Caenorhabditis elegans: one gene and its partner. The protein of the gene in region 2 interacts with the protein of the main gene of each other region in a pairwise test. Each region holds a gene or a part of one and is shown on either strand. Other genes may lie near its edges.

The links.
Region 1: the proteins of perm-4 (region 2) and ran-4 interact in a two-hybrid assay, tested with the Caenorhabditis elegans proteins (one large-scale study listed by BioGRID).

Annotation. Positions count from the first base shown.
Region 1 is NC_003279.8:8,588,338-8,593,716, forward strand, and holds ran-4 (putative nuclear transport factor 2), read left to right. Parts: upstream 1-2,877; 5' UTR 2,878-2,879; coding exon 2,880-2,976; intron 2,977-3,017; coding exon 3,018-3,109; intron 3,110-3,152; coding exon 3,153-3,251; intron 3,252-3,296; coding exon 3,297-3,410; 3' UTR 3,411-3,641; downstream 3,642-5,379. Other genes in the region: tmem-208 (Transmembrane protein 208), read left to right, coding at 3,755-3,847, 3,898-4,015, 4,070-4,182, 4,279-4,464; R05D11.9 (Sphingomyelin phosphodiesterase 4), read left to right, coding at 4,692-4,820, 4,871-5,071, 5,120-5,312. UniProt on the Caenorhabditis elegans protein: Facilitates protein transport into the nucleus. Could be part of a multicomponent system of cytosolic factors that assemble at the pore complex during nuclear import.
Region 2 is NC_003282.8:1,119,544-1,128,169, forward strand, and holds perm-4 (PERMeable eggshell), read right to left. Parts: upstream 5,565-8,626; 5' UTR 5,543-5,564; coding exon 5,486-5,542; intron 5,429-5,485; coding exon 5,281-5,428; intron 4,121-5,280; coding exon 3,660-4,120; intron 2,369-3,659; coding exon 2,039-2,368; 3' UTR 1,951-2,038; downstream 1-1,950. Other genes in the region: perm-2 (uncharacterized protein), read left to right, coding at 7,258-7,341, 8,176-8,335, 8,386-8,621.

The DNA.
Region 1 (5,379 bases), on a different chromosome or scaffold from region 2:
TTCTTTGACTATTTTGAGTTTTTATTTTAAAAAAAAGTCCATTAATAGAAACTAACATAAGTACTACTAAGAAGGCGTCATATTGTTATTTTTGTTTCAGATGGATGTACGTCACTACTTTTTATTGAGGTGCTCTCATGAGGAACCAGAATAAATAAACTATTTTATAACACACTGTACCATTTCCAATTGTTTAAGAAATTAAAAAAATAGAATAGAACTCACAGAAAATCAGTTTTTTTCTGAATCTGGCGGCGAAAAAAGCCAAGATATGGACGGAACCTAATTTTGGGGTGTTCTCTAAGCAAATTTTGAACATTGATTTCGAATACTGAATGTTAGAAGAACGCCAAATTGACGGCGAATAGATTAGGAAAAAAAGGTTTTCAAAACAGTAATAATGTATTTATAAATTCTATAGAAGTATGACATTCTGAGAATATTATAGAAAAAGAGATTTCGTATTATTATTATTATCAAATCATTCTGTGAATCTTCGTATCATATGACTTACTATTAAACAACCAAAATGAGCTGAACCTAAAGCCTTGAAGACCACGAAGTGACCACAGATTAAATACTGGAGGAAGAAACAAAACAAGTAAATAATCATAACAATTTATCTATAAAATCCTTTCAAAAGTTGAAGTAAACAACATCCTTTGAGATATCATGATTAAAAAGAATGAATAATGTTTCTAAATTTGTATAATCCTCTTCCTCTTTTATATTATTTTTATGATTTCTTCTGACTTTGAAGAGAAACAAAATCGGATTCAGATAAATTTCGAAAATTCTTGATTAACTCGGATTAAATGTCTCCTGACAATTGCACAACGAGCAAAACAGATGAAGGGTAGAAGAAGAAAGAGAATTCGTAAGTAAAGAGAATCGAGAAGAGAATAGAAACTGACATAAAAAGTTAGAAGGTTTTATGATTAACATATATCGCATGTTTCTTCGTGTATCGAGAACAGTTTTTTCTCTCTTTCAAATGGAATTTTGAGAGCGAGAAAATTGGCAAATATTATTATTTTTCGTACATGTGAATAGTTAAGAGCTCTCTCCTATAAGAGTATATTTAACTCGACAGGAGGGGTTACTGTACCCATGTACATATTTCTGCGTTGCGTGGCCGCGAATGTGAAAAAACTCGGCCACATTCATGAAAATTTTAATTAAAGGTTTAAATTAAATCACTCATATGGTCAAATTGGCGAACATCATAGTTAACATTTTCAAAATTTGCTATACGTTTTCGTATTCAGTGACAATTACGTTGCTTTTTCTACAAGTTTTATATTTGAACTACGTTCCAATAATTTGTATTTGAACGTTGTATGAACCTGCAAGATGCTCGGAATTACTAAAAATAAAATCTTTAGAAAATCTGGCAGTTTTCCAAAATGTGACTGAGATTTTTGAAAAAAGCTCACATATTCTTCTAAGGCGATTTCACAACTTTTACAGGCTAAAATGTTTTATCTTGGATGGGATTTTCCTTTTGAGAAAGATGTAATTAATACTGTCAAAAATCAAGACCAAAAACTTTAAAAAAATTTTGATTCTCGAACTATTACACAAGCTGGGTAAATCGACACATAGTTAGAGGTTCACATAAATTTTCTTCCATTTTTAGAAAAAAATTTGGGAGTTTTAAAGCTTGCTCAAATTCAGTCAGCAAAATGGTATACAATTTAGTTTTAAAATGTTTGGCTTACTTATTTTCCTTTCAATTACAAAAATCTACATTTGAAAACTAACTGAGTATATGTATCGCTCATAGAATTTTGATAATCATGTGAGAAGCAGTATGTAATGAGTTCGGAATTGCTTGCATTAATTTTGTCAATGAACTGTTACCAAGGTAACCATAAATGTGACTGGATGAGTTTGATGTAATGAGCTCTCGAAAATTGATATCATTTCAGTTCTGGATGATGTGAAAATATAATAGTAACGGTTCTTTATTTTCAGAAAACGTTGGCTTCAAAAGACTGGTCAGGTGCCGAAAAGGGAAGAGTGAAAGAACATACATATATGGTGTTCGCTAAGGCATGAGGATGCGCAGAGATGGAAAATTATTTCAAGTTTCTATAAATTACAGAAAATTGATTTTTGAAATGCCAACATTACGGAGTAAGAATAAAGTTTAACTTCTTATTCAATTGGTAGAATGGAAAGAAATAAAAAATGGAGCAACAACAAAAGAGGAACATAATTTCAGTGGTTTTGTCGTTATTTTGTTGCTTTTCCAGCTCTGTTTTCCATTTTGGCGAGCTCAAAGAGACATAAAAACAGAGCCAACCAACTCTTTTTTCTCTGCGCCTCTTCAACAAAAAGAGTGACGACAAGGCGATTTCTCTGCTCATAACGTGTTCTCTCTCGTTTACACACTCTCTCGCTTTCTGTGCAGTAATCGCGCTCCGCTGGATTATGCTACAAAATGTGCGCGCGATGCTGGCACCTTGCCATTTTATTCTGATTTTCCAATTTATTTAGGCATTTTTATTTTTTTTAATCGGTTTTCTCTTGTGAGGAATCAAATAATTCATAATTATTTTTAATTAAACTTCCCAAGAACGAACAAAACGCAGGAAGACAATACTGTTCTTTCGAAAACTGAAACATGAGGCCGAGGGTTTAAACTTTAAAAACTAAAAAAAAACAATTTGGTTGCTGTTTATTTTTCTCAATGCGAGCAAGACCACTGCTCATCTAACAACTAATTTTCAAAATTTATTGAGACAACCCATCTCGAGTAAATATATAATTCAATTGTTTCGAAAATTATCGTATTCTTCGTTGCTTTTTCCTACCTATCTTATTTATTTTTACTCTTTTTCAATTATTTTTCCCAATTTGTCGTTTTTAAAGGAATGAGCTTCAATCCTGATTACGAAAGTGTTGCAAAGGCCTTCATTCAACATTACTACTCAAAGTTCGATGTTGGCGATGGAATGAGTCGTGCTCAAGGTATTTCGTCTGAAAAAAACAATAAACTTAGTGAATTTCAGGACTCTCCGATTTGTACGACCCAGAAAACTCTTACATGACTTTTGAAGGACAGCAAGCGAAAGGCCGTGACGGAATTCTCCAAAAGTTCACGGTTTGTGCAAAAGTACGAGAGTTCAATAACGAAACACTTTTAGACTCTCGGATTCACAAAAATTCAACGAGCGATCACTGTGATTGACTCTCAGCCTCTGTATGATGGATCAATTCAAGTGATGGTTCTTGGTCAGCTCAAGGTAAGTAGAAGTAGTTTTCAAAAAAACCGAAAAAAAATTATTCAGACCGACGAAGATCCAATCAATCCCTTCTCGCAAGTCTTTATTCTCCGTCCAAACAATCAGGGTTCCTACTTCATCGGAAACGAGATCTTCCGACTTGACTTGCACAACAATTAGATATCAATTCGTCCACTTTCCTATCAAAATGTGTCCCCGTATTGAACAATTTTTCAAGAACTGAATTTTCACCAAATTGCTTAAATATCTATTTCAACCCGGCTTTTTCCATGTTTCTAAATCGGTTTCTTTCCCCACACAGTTTCGTGTCGTTTTACTATTTCGCACAATTTCAAACTTCTAGTTTGCAAATCGGTTCAAACTAAAGAATGAAGTTTTTATCATTTTCTTTCCGAGATATCGAGAAAATTTTGTTTAATTCGTTATTATTAGTGGTTTTTCAACCTTTACAATACCTTTGACTTTTTCAGCAATGACCTCAAAAATATAAAAATTAAATACAGATGGTGAAACAAGCAACAAAAGGGCAGAAAGAGATCTATGAGGAGAATCAGAAGACTGTCACCACTTATAGTGTGGCTAGCACGATTAGCATGGTAAACATTTGTAATTTCACATTTCAACGATTTTTTAAAAATTGTTTTAGGCAATCTACTATTCATCGTGTATGTTTCTGAGCCAGTGCTCTTCCACCGATTATGTATTTTTTGCTGTCTCAGCGCTCGTGCAGATCTTTGCTATTCTTTTCATGAAATCTTTAGCTAGTAAGTTTGTCTTACCCATTAATTTTTTGTATTAATCTGAAATTATGATTTTAGAAGCAAAGCTTGACGATAAAGGACATGTTTTGGATGCTGGTGCCGATTTGAACGATCCAGAAGCATTCGGAGAATACTGTAAAGACGCCATTATTCTGACAGTCATTATTCAAGTTAGTTTTTGCAAAAAAAAAGTGTGGGAAAGTGCGCATTAATAGTTCAAAAATGAAATATTCTATCTTCAAATGTATAATTTACTCTGTTCCCAGATCATCTCACTCTATTCTACATACGGATTCCTTTTGCTCCTCGCCTTTCCTGGAGCAGCCACATACAAATTTGTTGCTGGATTCCTTCTACCATGGTTGACCGCTGGATCAGACTCAGATGAAATGGATGACAAGAAACAGAAGAAATTGGACAGAAGAAGAGAAAAAGTCGTGTACAGACGTTAAATTATAACTTCTAGAAAACAATGTTCCCTAAGTCACTTCAAATTTTAAATTATAATCGTATTTATTTATTGCATACTTGTAATGTTTATCTATTCAAATATTTTTTTTTAATACACATTTTTTCCAAAAATTTTAATGTTTTTATTCATGGTTATTTTTCCCGATCGCTCTTATTTTAGTATTCTCAAAAACTTAAAATGTTGTCGATTCTATATATAATTTCAGAGATGTTCCAGCAGCGGCAGACACCAACAGAATTTTCACAGATGGACGATGTAGTTTCAATTTGTAGGGAGATCAGTTCGAATATCATTTCCACAGACAAGAATGTTCCTATTTCAAAAATGATTATTCATGTACTTATAAGTTATTTCAAAATTAAAATTATCAATATGGAGCATTTCAGAAAATCTTCAAGAATCCCCACATCGATTTGTGCTCCATCCTCCCACCTCTAATACAACAACATTATCCAGATTCTCCTTATTGTCACATCCAATCACTGATAAACTCAAATTCAGTTTTCTTCGAAACCGTCCTGGAGGATGATCAGCTTTGTACTGAACTTTGGGACAGTATTCTACATCAATGCGAAGTGTCAACTGCGGTATATTGTTTTACATAATTTTGATTCTGAATCCTTTTGAATTTTCAGCCAACTGAGCCTGCAAAAGATTCAATTCTGTTCTCAGCAGTTTCTCAATATGTCACAAGAATTCTTCCATGCGATGAGACGGCACCTTCTTCGATGTCAGTCCCAAGATCTCCAAAAATCACCCATCAAACTATTCGGACGCCACTTCAGCTCTTTCGTGCCGATTCGCCCCTTGTTAATCGAGTTAGCATTGGTACGTAAGGTCGTCCGGTTTTCTGAAAAACCGAACTTGTTTTAGTTTTTTCGGTTTTGTTCGGTTT
Region 2 (8,626 bases):
TTTTTTCGGGAGAGTTAAGCTCCAGAAAATCACTGAAATAAAAACAGGTGAAATTTAAATATAAAATACAGAGAGATAGTATATGACGCGTGAAAATAAAGTTTGCTTTTTTTCTGACGAACTCTATTGAAAAGTTCAAATTTATCGTAGAATTTCGCTTTTAGTACTGAAAAATAGTGAAATCTGAAATTTTCCGGTTTTCAAAAATATTTTATACCAGTGTTGTGTAGCTCTCGGCTCTCGGCGCAAGAGAGAAAAATTAGGATTTTTGCCAAAAATGTGGTGTGCACTCGCCGAGAGCCGACTTTCTTCAATAGTAACACAGGACTGTTACACAAAAACAGCAGGGAATTCAAATTTTTTATTGAAAATTTTGAGAAATGGAGTTCGAGCACAGAAAATTTGCTAACATCGAAATATTCTAGACTTAAAATTTTTTAAAGAAATTTTTGAATAGTCATTTCGAATTCTCCATCCCTCAATTAGTTTATTCCAGAAATGCCAGAGCGCTAGCTTAAAGTCCCGTCAAATTCGGTGCATTGGAGTACGGTAGACGGTGTTTGCGTATTTCCGGAGCCACAGTAACCAACTGGTTTGAAAATCAAGCTAAAACCGTGAGAAGTTATGTTGTTGAATGCAAAAATAAACGAGGAAATAGAGTTGATAATGTTTTCTAGGAATGAAAACAGATTGAGTTCTGGAAAATTGAGAAAACAATATATATTTTTACCGCACTTTCCACTACTACAGAGTTCTCGTATAATATAGTGTACTTCCGAAAACTAAAAGCTATAATTATTTGTCATAAAAAAATAATTCCTGGGAGTACGGTAGAAGCTACAGTAATCCAAAAAAAATCTTAAAAAAATGCTAGAAAATGAAAAATTTGAATTTGTTATTGTAATTTTTCGGAGGAAAAAAAAGTTAATTTGAGAACCCCCGGAAATCACTTTTTTTCGGAAAAAACCCGCTGCAAAAAACAATCTCAAAATTTTTGAAATATTTGTTTTTTCAATTTATTCGGGAGCTGCAGAGTGAGCTCATAGCTTTCCAACAGAGCGGAAATTAATTTTACTAGTCATTTTTTGCTACGTTGCGCATTATCTTTTGATTTTTTAGTGTACGTGACGCATCAATATTTGGAAATTTAACTTTTTTGAAAAAAAAAATGAAAAATCAAAGTTATTTCAAAAAATGTTTGCAAGATTTAATGATTAGGTAGCTTTAATTTCTGCATAGATTTTTAAGCCAAAAAAGTTTTTCTTTGATTTCTAGATTTCTCTAAAAATACAAAAACGCCGACTACCATATATGCCGGGACTTTTGAGTGAAAGATTTTTTTGTCATTAGAAAGTGCGAGGACCATAGGGCTTTTATGTAGGCGTTAAAATGCCTGCTACCTGATCTCCGCCTGCCCCTCGCTCAATTTCTGCACTAAATGCTTGGTGTTTATTCCACAAAGTGCGAAAGGTGGTTCTTTGGCCGCGACCGACACTATTCGGGTCGTGGTGCAAGGCAGGCAGAGGTCGCCGCAAGGCGGGCGCGGCAGGCGTTCAGGCGCCTACAGGGAAGCCCTAGCAGGCTCAAAAACTTTTTGGAATCTGGTCACTGGTTTTCGTGAAGCTTCTATGTATACATGAGGTTTTCTAAAGTCTGGAAAACAGCAAAAAAGTGTAGAAAAGTACGTGGGAAAATGTCAATTTTTTCTGAGAAAAAGGAGTTTTAACAAAATGATCTAGACCAGAGGTGGGAAAATATTTGATAGTATGTTGCGAGACTGCGAATGATTTGAAAGTTCAACAAGTGTCTAAGTTGCTAAAATTATCAAAAACTTTTACAAAAGTTAAATTTGAAGAGCTAAATTTTAAGAATGACAAATTTGGCAACTTCCAAAGTTGCCGGAAACTTCAAAAACTGGTAGTTTATTCCAAAATAGCTATGTAGCACAAAATTTCAGGAGAAGATATTTATTGGGTTGTGCAAAATCGAATTATATTTGAAAAATGTAAACAAAAAGGTCACTTGTAAGAAAATCGAATTAATAAGCATTGGAAGCAGCAACTGGAGCCGGCGTGGCCGCTGGTGGAGCATCATTGGCGGCTCCCCAAGTTGGAGCAGCAGTTGGAGCACCTCCCCAGGTTGGTGGAGCAGCTGGAGCAGCTCCCCATGATGTTGATGGAGCAGCTGGAGCAGCTCCCCATGATGTTGATGGAGCAGTATTCTCGGATTGCCAGAGGTCAACGAGTGGCTGGGAGGCTGACATTGGTGGGGACTGAGCAGCTACTGGTTGTGGCTGGACGAAGGCGTTGGCGTTGTTGTTGTAGCCAGTTGGTGGGGATTGAGCAGCATTGTTGTTGTAGGATGGGTTCTGGAAGAAAATTGAATTGCATAATAAATTTTCCCTCAAAGTTTTGAAATATGAGCTTCAAAATAACCTAAAAAACATTGAAAAATATCAAAAACTGGCAAAGTTAGGGGTTTTCAGAAATTGAAAAAAAAATTTCTTAGGAAATTTTCTTTAAAACTCAGTGGTACATAGGCTAAATTATCGATTTTTTTTTTGCAAAATTCAATAAAATCCCGATGAAATTTTCAGTTTGAGAAGATTTTTGGAGAGAATTTCAAAATTTTTGGAAAATTCGTAGCTTTTTCAGTTTTTGAGAGTTTTTGGTGATTTTTGTGTCAAATTGAAGCTAAACTTTTATATTTTTTAGGAAAAAATAATTTTTAATTTAATATCGTCTTAGAAAGGTTCAAAAACATGAAAAATTCCTCTCAAATTCCTTATTTTTCGAATTTCAAAATTTTGAGATTTTTCGAAAATCCATAGCATTCTTAGTTTTTGAGACTTTTGGATAAGTTTTGTGGCAAATTGAATATAAATTTTAAAATTTTACAAAAATTCATGTTTGGAGTGATGTATTCAGTAAAATAGCTGAAAAAAGTAGGCCTAATGCCAAATTCTCAAACTTTGGAATTTTCTAAAATTTTTCAAAAATCCAAAACTTTTTCAGTTTTTGAGATTTTTTAGTGAATTTAGTGTTAAATTAAAGCGGAAGTTTCAATTTTTATGGAAAAAACTAGTCTGAACGCTGAAAAACCATATTTTCTTCAAAACTAGACGCTTGAACTCGTCATATGGCTTAAATTTAGGGCTTCAAACTTCGAAATTCGGAGATTTTTTGAACATTCTCAACTTTCTTAGTTTTCAAGATTTTCTAGAGATTTTTGGGCCAAATTAAAGCTGAATTGTTAAATGTTGTAGTGAAATTGTTTTAGTTATATAAAAACTAAATTGTGGTAAAAACCAAAAAGAAAGTCATTGGTCCAAAATTAAAAGTTTTGTTAATTCTGACAGAAATTTGAAAATCTATAACTTTTTCAGTGTATGAGATTTTTCAGTGATTTTTTTGCCAAATTTAAAGTAAATTTTGAAATTATTTAAAAAGGATTAATTTTAAATTTTCAAAAAATTTACTGTCTTCAAAACTAGACTTTTAGACTCGTAGGCCAAAATCTTCAAATATCGAAATTCCGCGGTTTTTTGAAAATTTATAACTTCCTCATTTTTCAACATTTTTTTTGTAATTTTTGAGCCAGATTAAAGCAAAATCACTGAATTCCCAACAAAAAAAAATAGTCCTTAAAATATTCCCCACCTGAGCAGCTGGAGAGGATCTTGGAGCACAGCACACGCACTTGACATTCTTATGATATTTCTTTGGCTCCCAGTTGGCCTCTGACAAGTAGGTAGAGTCAACCTTATGGAATCTTCCACGTCCATGTTTTCCGTCCTTCTCATCAGAATCCGAATCATTATCATCATCATCATCAGCTCCTCTCTTGGATCTCTTGAATGTCTCATCATCATCATCCTTGGTAATAGCCAAGAATCCGAAGAGTTGATCGTTGGGAAGGGAAGTGTCACGACGGGCGGTCTGTTGGCAGCAGAAGTTACAGGAATCTTCATCATGGGTAGCAACTTCGGAGCACTTTACACGAACGGCACGATTAGCTGGGACGGATGGGGCTCCACCGTAGTATGGCTGTGGGTGGCGATGATGGCGGCGGACAGAGTCGACGACGAGGAGCACGGAGGCGTCGAGGTCGCATACGAAGCCTGTAAATATTTTTCATCTTAAAATTCAAAATTTCAGCTTCAATTTAACTTAAAAACTGATAAAATATCTCAAAAACTGGAAAAGTTGTAGATTTTCGAAAATTTTAGAAAAAAACCATTTTAGTTAATTTGACAAAAAAAATTCCTGACTCAAATCAGTTTGTTCTACAGAATTTTAAAAAATTGGCTCTAATTTTACAATAAATTCAATAAAAAATCTCGAAAACTAAAAAAGTTATGAATTTTCGAAAATGTTCAAAAATCTATTATATAACTTTCTCAATTTTCGAGATATTGGGATGGTTTTTGTGGTATTTTGAGGGTAAATTTTTGAATTTTCAAGAAAAATTAGTTTTCGATAAAAATTGTCGAAAAAATTTAATAGCAATAAAATTTGACTCTTCCAAAAAAAAAAGTCCAAAATTTCAAAAATTTTTGAAAATCTATAACTTTCTCAATTTTTGAGATTTTGGGATGGTTTTTGTGTCATTTTAAGGGTAAATTTTTGAATTTTGTATAAAAAATAATGGAAGCTATCGTAACCTAGGAAAAGTGTGTTTTCTACCGAATTTCAATTTCTTTCAAAATATAAAATTTAAGCTTCAATTTGGCATTAAACTCAATGAAATTTTTTGAAAATTGTAGCTTTTTTGAAATTCTGCACCAACTAGATTAAATTTAATCTAAATAAATACTACAGTAACGCAGTTAATTTTGCCAAAAAATTTAAAAAAAATTAATCTTTAATTTGACATAAAAATCAAACAATTATCTCAAAAACTGGAAAAGTTACAGGTTTTCAAACATTTTCAAAAATTCTAATTCTGATAAATTGGCCTAAGTTCTACAGATTTTTTGAAAAAAAAAAACAGTATTTTTGCAACAAAATTTGAAGAACTAGCTTAATTTTGATTTAAAAATTATTGAAAAATCTCGAAAACTGAGAAATTTATGAATTTTTCAAAATTTTTCGAAAATTTGAAAATTGACAAAACTACCTATGAATAAGTCAATTTTTTGATGATTCCCAAAAAATGTTACATTTTTGAAATAAGTTGGCTATTGCGGTTCAAACAAGTATAATCATAACTAGGTCTACGCAAATGCGCTCTATTGCCAAATTACTATAGCTCTTAAAATTTGAATTTTCACGAACTCACGATCTTGAATAAGTGGCTGCCAGTATCCTGGTCCGAATGCTGGGTATCCATATCCTCCTCCATTTCCATAACCTCCTCCTCCATACGATGGACGACCGCCGTAGCGACCAGCAGCGGCCTCTGACTTGACCTCTTCGGTGGGTGTTGGCTGCAGAAAATGTTTCAGATTATCCTAAAATTGCGGAAATCCAAAAAAACCATATACCTTTGCACCGAGGACGGCGGCCAGCGAGGCGACTGTGAGAAGAAGAACGGTTTTCATTTCTGAAAAGCGATCGAATGATGGATTTGTCGGCGGAGCCATGCTTTTATAGTTCGGGGGGAACATGGGATGGGCTCCGCCTACAGAAAAAAAAATCAAGAGGAAAAGCTTGAGGAAGATGAAAGTAGAAATGTCTGAGTTGATGGAACGGGGAAAAAAGAGGAAACATTGAAAAGATGATCGATAGATTTGCACCATATCTCGGCTAATTTTCAAGATATCAAAAAAATTGTAACTAGACAGTTATAGAAAAAGTAATAATAAATAACTTGCCAGTTGATAATTTTTTGATAAAACCAAAGGCTACGAAGATATGAACTGTTAAAGTTGATCAGTAAATTTTTCATCGATGCACCAAAAAGAAGGGAATCTGAAGCATAAATAATGCATGTAAAACCTACTGCCAAAATTTTACAATAAAACTACTCTCAATGCACCATAATCAGCATTTTTGTTCAGCAGCTCGTATCCCTCTTATGTATTTTTATAAATATCAATTTATTACAAAACTTTGTAAAACTATGTAATGCATATTTTACGTGTTTGCAATTTGCTCATTGATATGTAAATTGTTGAAATTTTATTGGCAAATCCATAGAGAAATCCATTAGGAACACTATAAATCACTCCAAAGCTTTCAATTCACAAGGAAAGGAAGTCAATCTAGTCCCGGACTTTGAATCAGGACATATGCCTTTGAAAGCTTATGTTTAGACTAGATCACCAAAAAAATTTCAGCGGCGGAACTCAACTCTGAACCCCTGAAAGCGCCATCTGAAAGTGCTCCAGTGCATTTTTTTGCTGAATTCTAGGTCAAGTAAATGGCCTTAAAAGTGGCTAGAGCGGTTAAAAATTGTTTTTGGGGGTCTTTAGGGTCAAACAAACAGTGTGGAAGCTTTTTGGAAATTTTTATTTTTTTCCAAAAATCTGAAATTTTTGCGGTGATCTAGGCTAACCATAAGCTTTCAAATGACATACGTCTCGATTCGAAGTCCGGGACTAGATTAACTTACTTTCCTTGTCAGACAAATTTTTCACATAATACGTTAATTATCTATTTCATGCCCAAATTCCAGGTATTTGCACATTTCTCCATTCTCATTCAATTGCACTTTCACCCATCACGAGTTGCTCCATATGAAATCATCTGAAATGTCTGAAATTCCAAGCCCACTCAATCATCCCATTTCTCATATAACATGTTGCAATCAGGTGGGCGGCGGCTGCGGCCGGCAGGAAAAAGAGCCCAGCGGAATGTGTGATGGATTGAGCAGCGAAGAAAAAAGAAAATGGAAAAGCTGAAAAAAATAGTCGGTCGAAAAAAAAGTGACCTAAGGATGTGTTGCAACATGTGTCTGAGATCCAGCGGGGTTCAAAGAACTAATTTGTGTATCTTTTAGCAAAGTGTATTTTGAGAAAATCAACACATTTTGAACTAGAACACTGTAGAAAAACTGTTAAGGAACATTTTTCCAGTTGATCAAGTCCGAGTGATTCACCATGTATTGGAGCCTTTTGACTTGTTGGCTCAGTTACCACAGCTGTGAGATTTAATTCCAGGTTCCGTAGCAAACATTTTTGCGCTCCAAACCTTTTTGTTTTTTATCCAACGCCTAACGTTTTCCCCTCAAACTACAATGCCGAGTTCCCGCCTCCATATCTCTGGCGGATCTCAAGTATAAAAGCGGCGAAGCATCTTGGCTCCGATCATCATCATGTTTTCCACCACTTGGATCGTCGCGTCTCTGGCACTTTGCGCCGCTGTCACCTGCGCTGTGAGCACCGAGGCTCCTGAGAAGGTAAGCGTTACTGTTGGTTCTGTTGGAACTAGGAAAAACGGACTGTAAGGTTACTGTAGCTTGATAGATAACTTGATTTAGACACGTTAAAAAGTAAAGCTGTTATAGATATTTGACTAAATCTTGATGTATTGTCAGTAGGTATAATTAGTTGTATTCAAGTTATTAAGATTAGGTTTATTCCGTATCACGTGTGCATTAGTATGTATCACGTAAGGGTTACCTATACTATATTGTGATATCCTAAATAGTAAGTCTAAATAAGATTACTTGCTAAGGTGTAACTTGAATCGGACAGAAAATTTAGAGGTAATAAGATTTCTTGATGAAATGCTATGTTGATTAAGCGTAGATATATTTAATAGAATTCAACTTATTAGGAAGGTTAGTATACATTTAACTAGTTTCTTTTACCTAGGTTCTGCTCCTGGAGTTACTGTGGCTAGATGTAGCTAGACCTTAAATATATGTACCTTAAATAGGATGTAGGTCTAATTCAAATTAAACACGTTACGAATATGGCACATTATTTAATCCGATACAAAGGTAATACTATAAGTAGGCATGTATATTGAATAGTATTCAGGGAGGTATATTAGGACTAATTAAATACTTTTGAGATTAAGTAGTAACTGTTAAATACTGAAAGTGTAATAATTGTTTAGCTTTTAATATTTACCATCATTCATTTGAAGTACTTGTTCTAGGTAGCTTACTATTAGTATAGGAACGTAATCAATACCTACCTTTGAATCTAGACTAGTTTAGAATTTAGTACTAGAAAAAAATTATCAGTAAGTATGAGCGAATAAAATTTTATGTCCAATTTTCCAGCAATCCGACGTCAAGGACGCCCCAGCTGGAGCTCACTATGGCGGTGGCTACGACAACGGACCATCCTACAACCAACCCCAATACCCAGTCTACCAGTTCCCAAACTTTGACGTCAACTATTGCTCTGTCCACGCTTCCTTCCCACTTGTCGGTCTTAGAAGTTAGTTTTAACAACTTTCCTACGGGTCCCGTTCACCTTAAAACTTCTAGAGCACCATCGCGGTCACCACAGAGGCGACCGCGTGAAGAGACAAGCCTACGGAACCCCAGCTCAAGATTCCAACTACAACAACAACCAGCAATACGATGCTCCAGCCTACGGACCATCCTTCATCCAGAGACCACGCCCGTTCGAGCGTCAGGCTTGCAGAAACACCGCCATCTACTCGCAGGAGTCGTGCCAGAACTGCTGCTCCATCTCGTCCCGTGCCGCTGGAAGCTCATCGGTTAG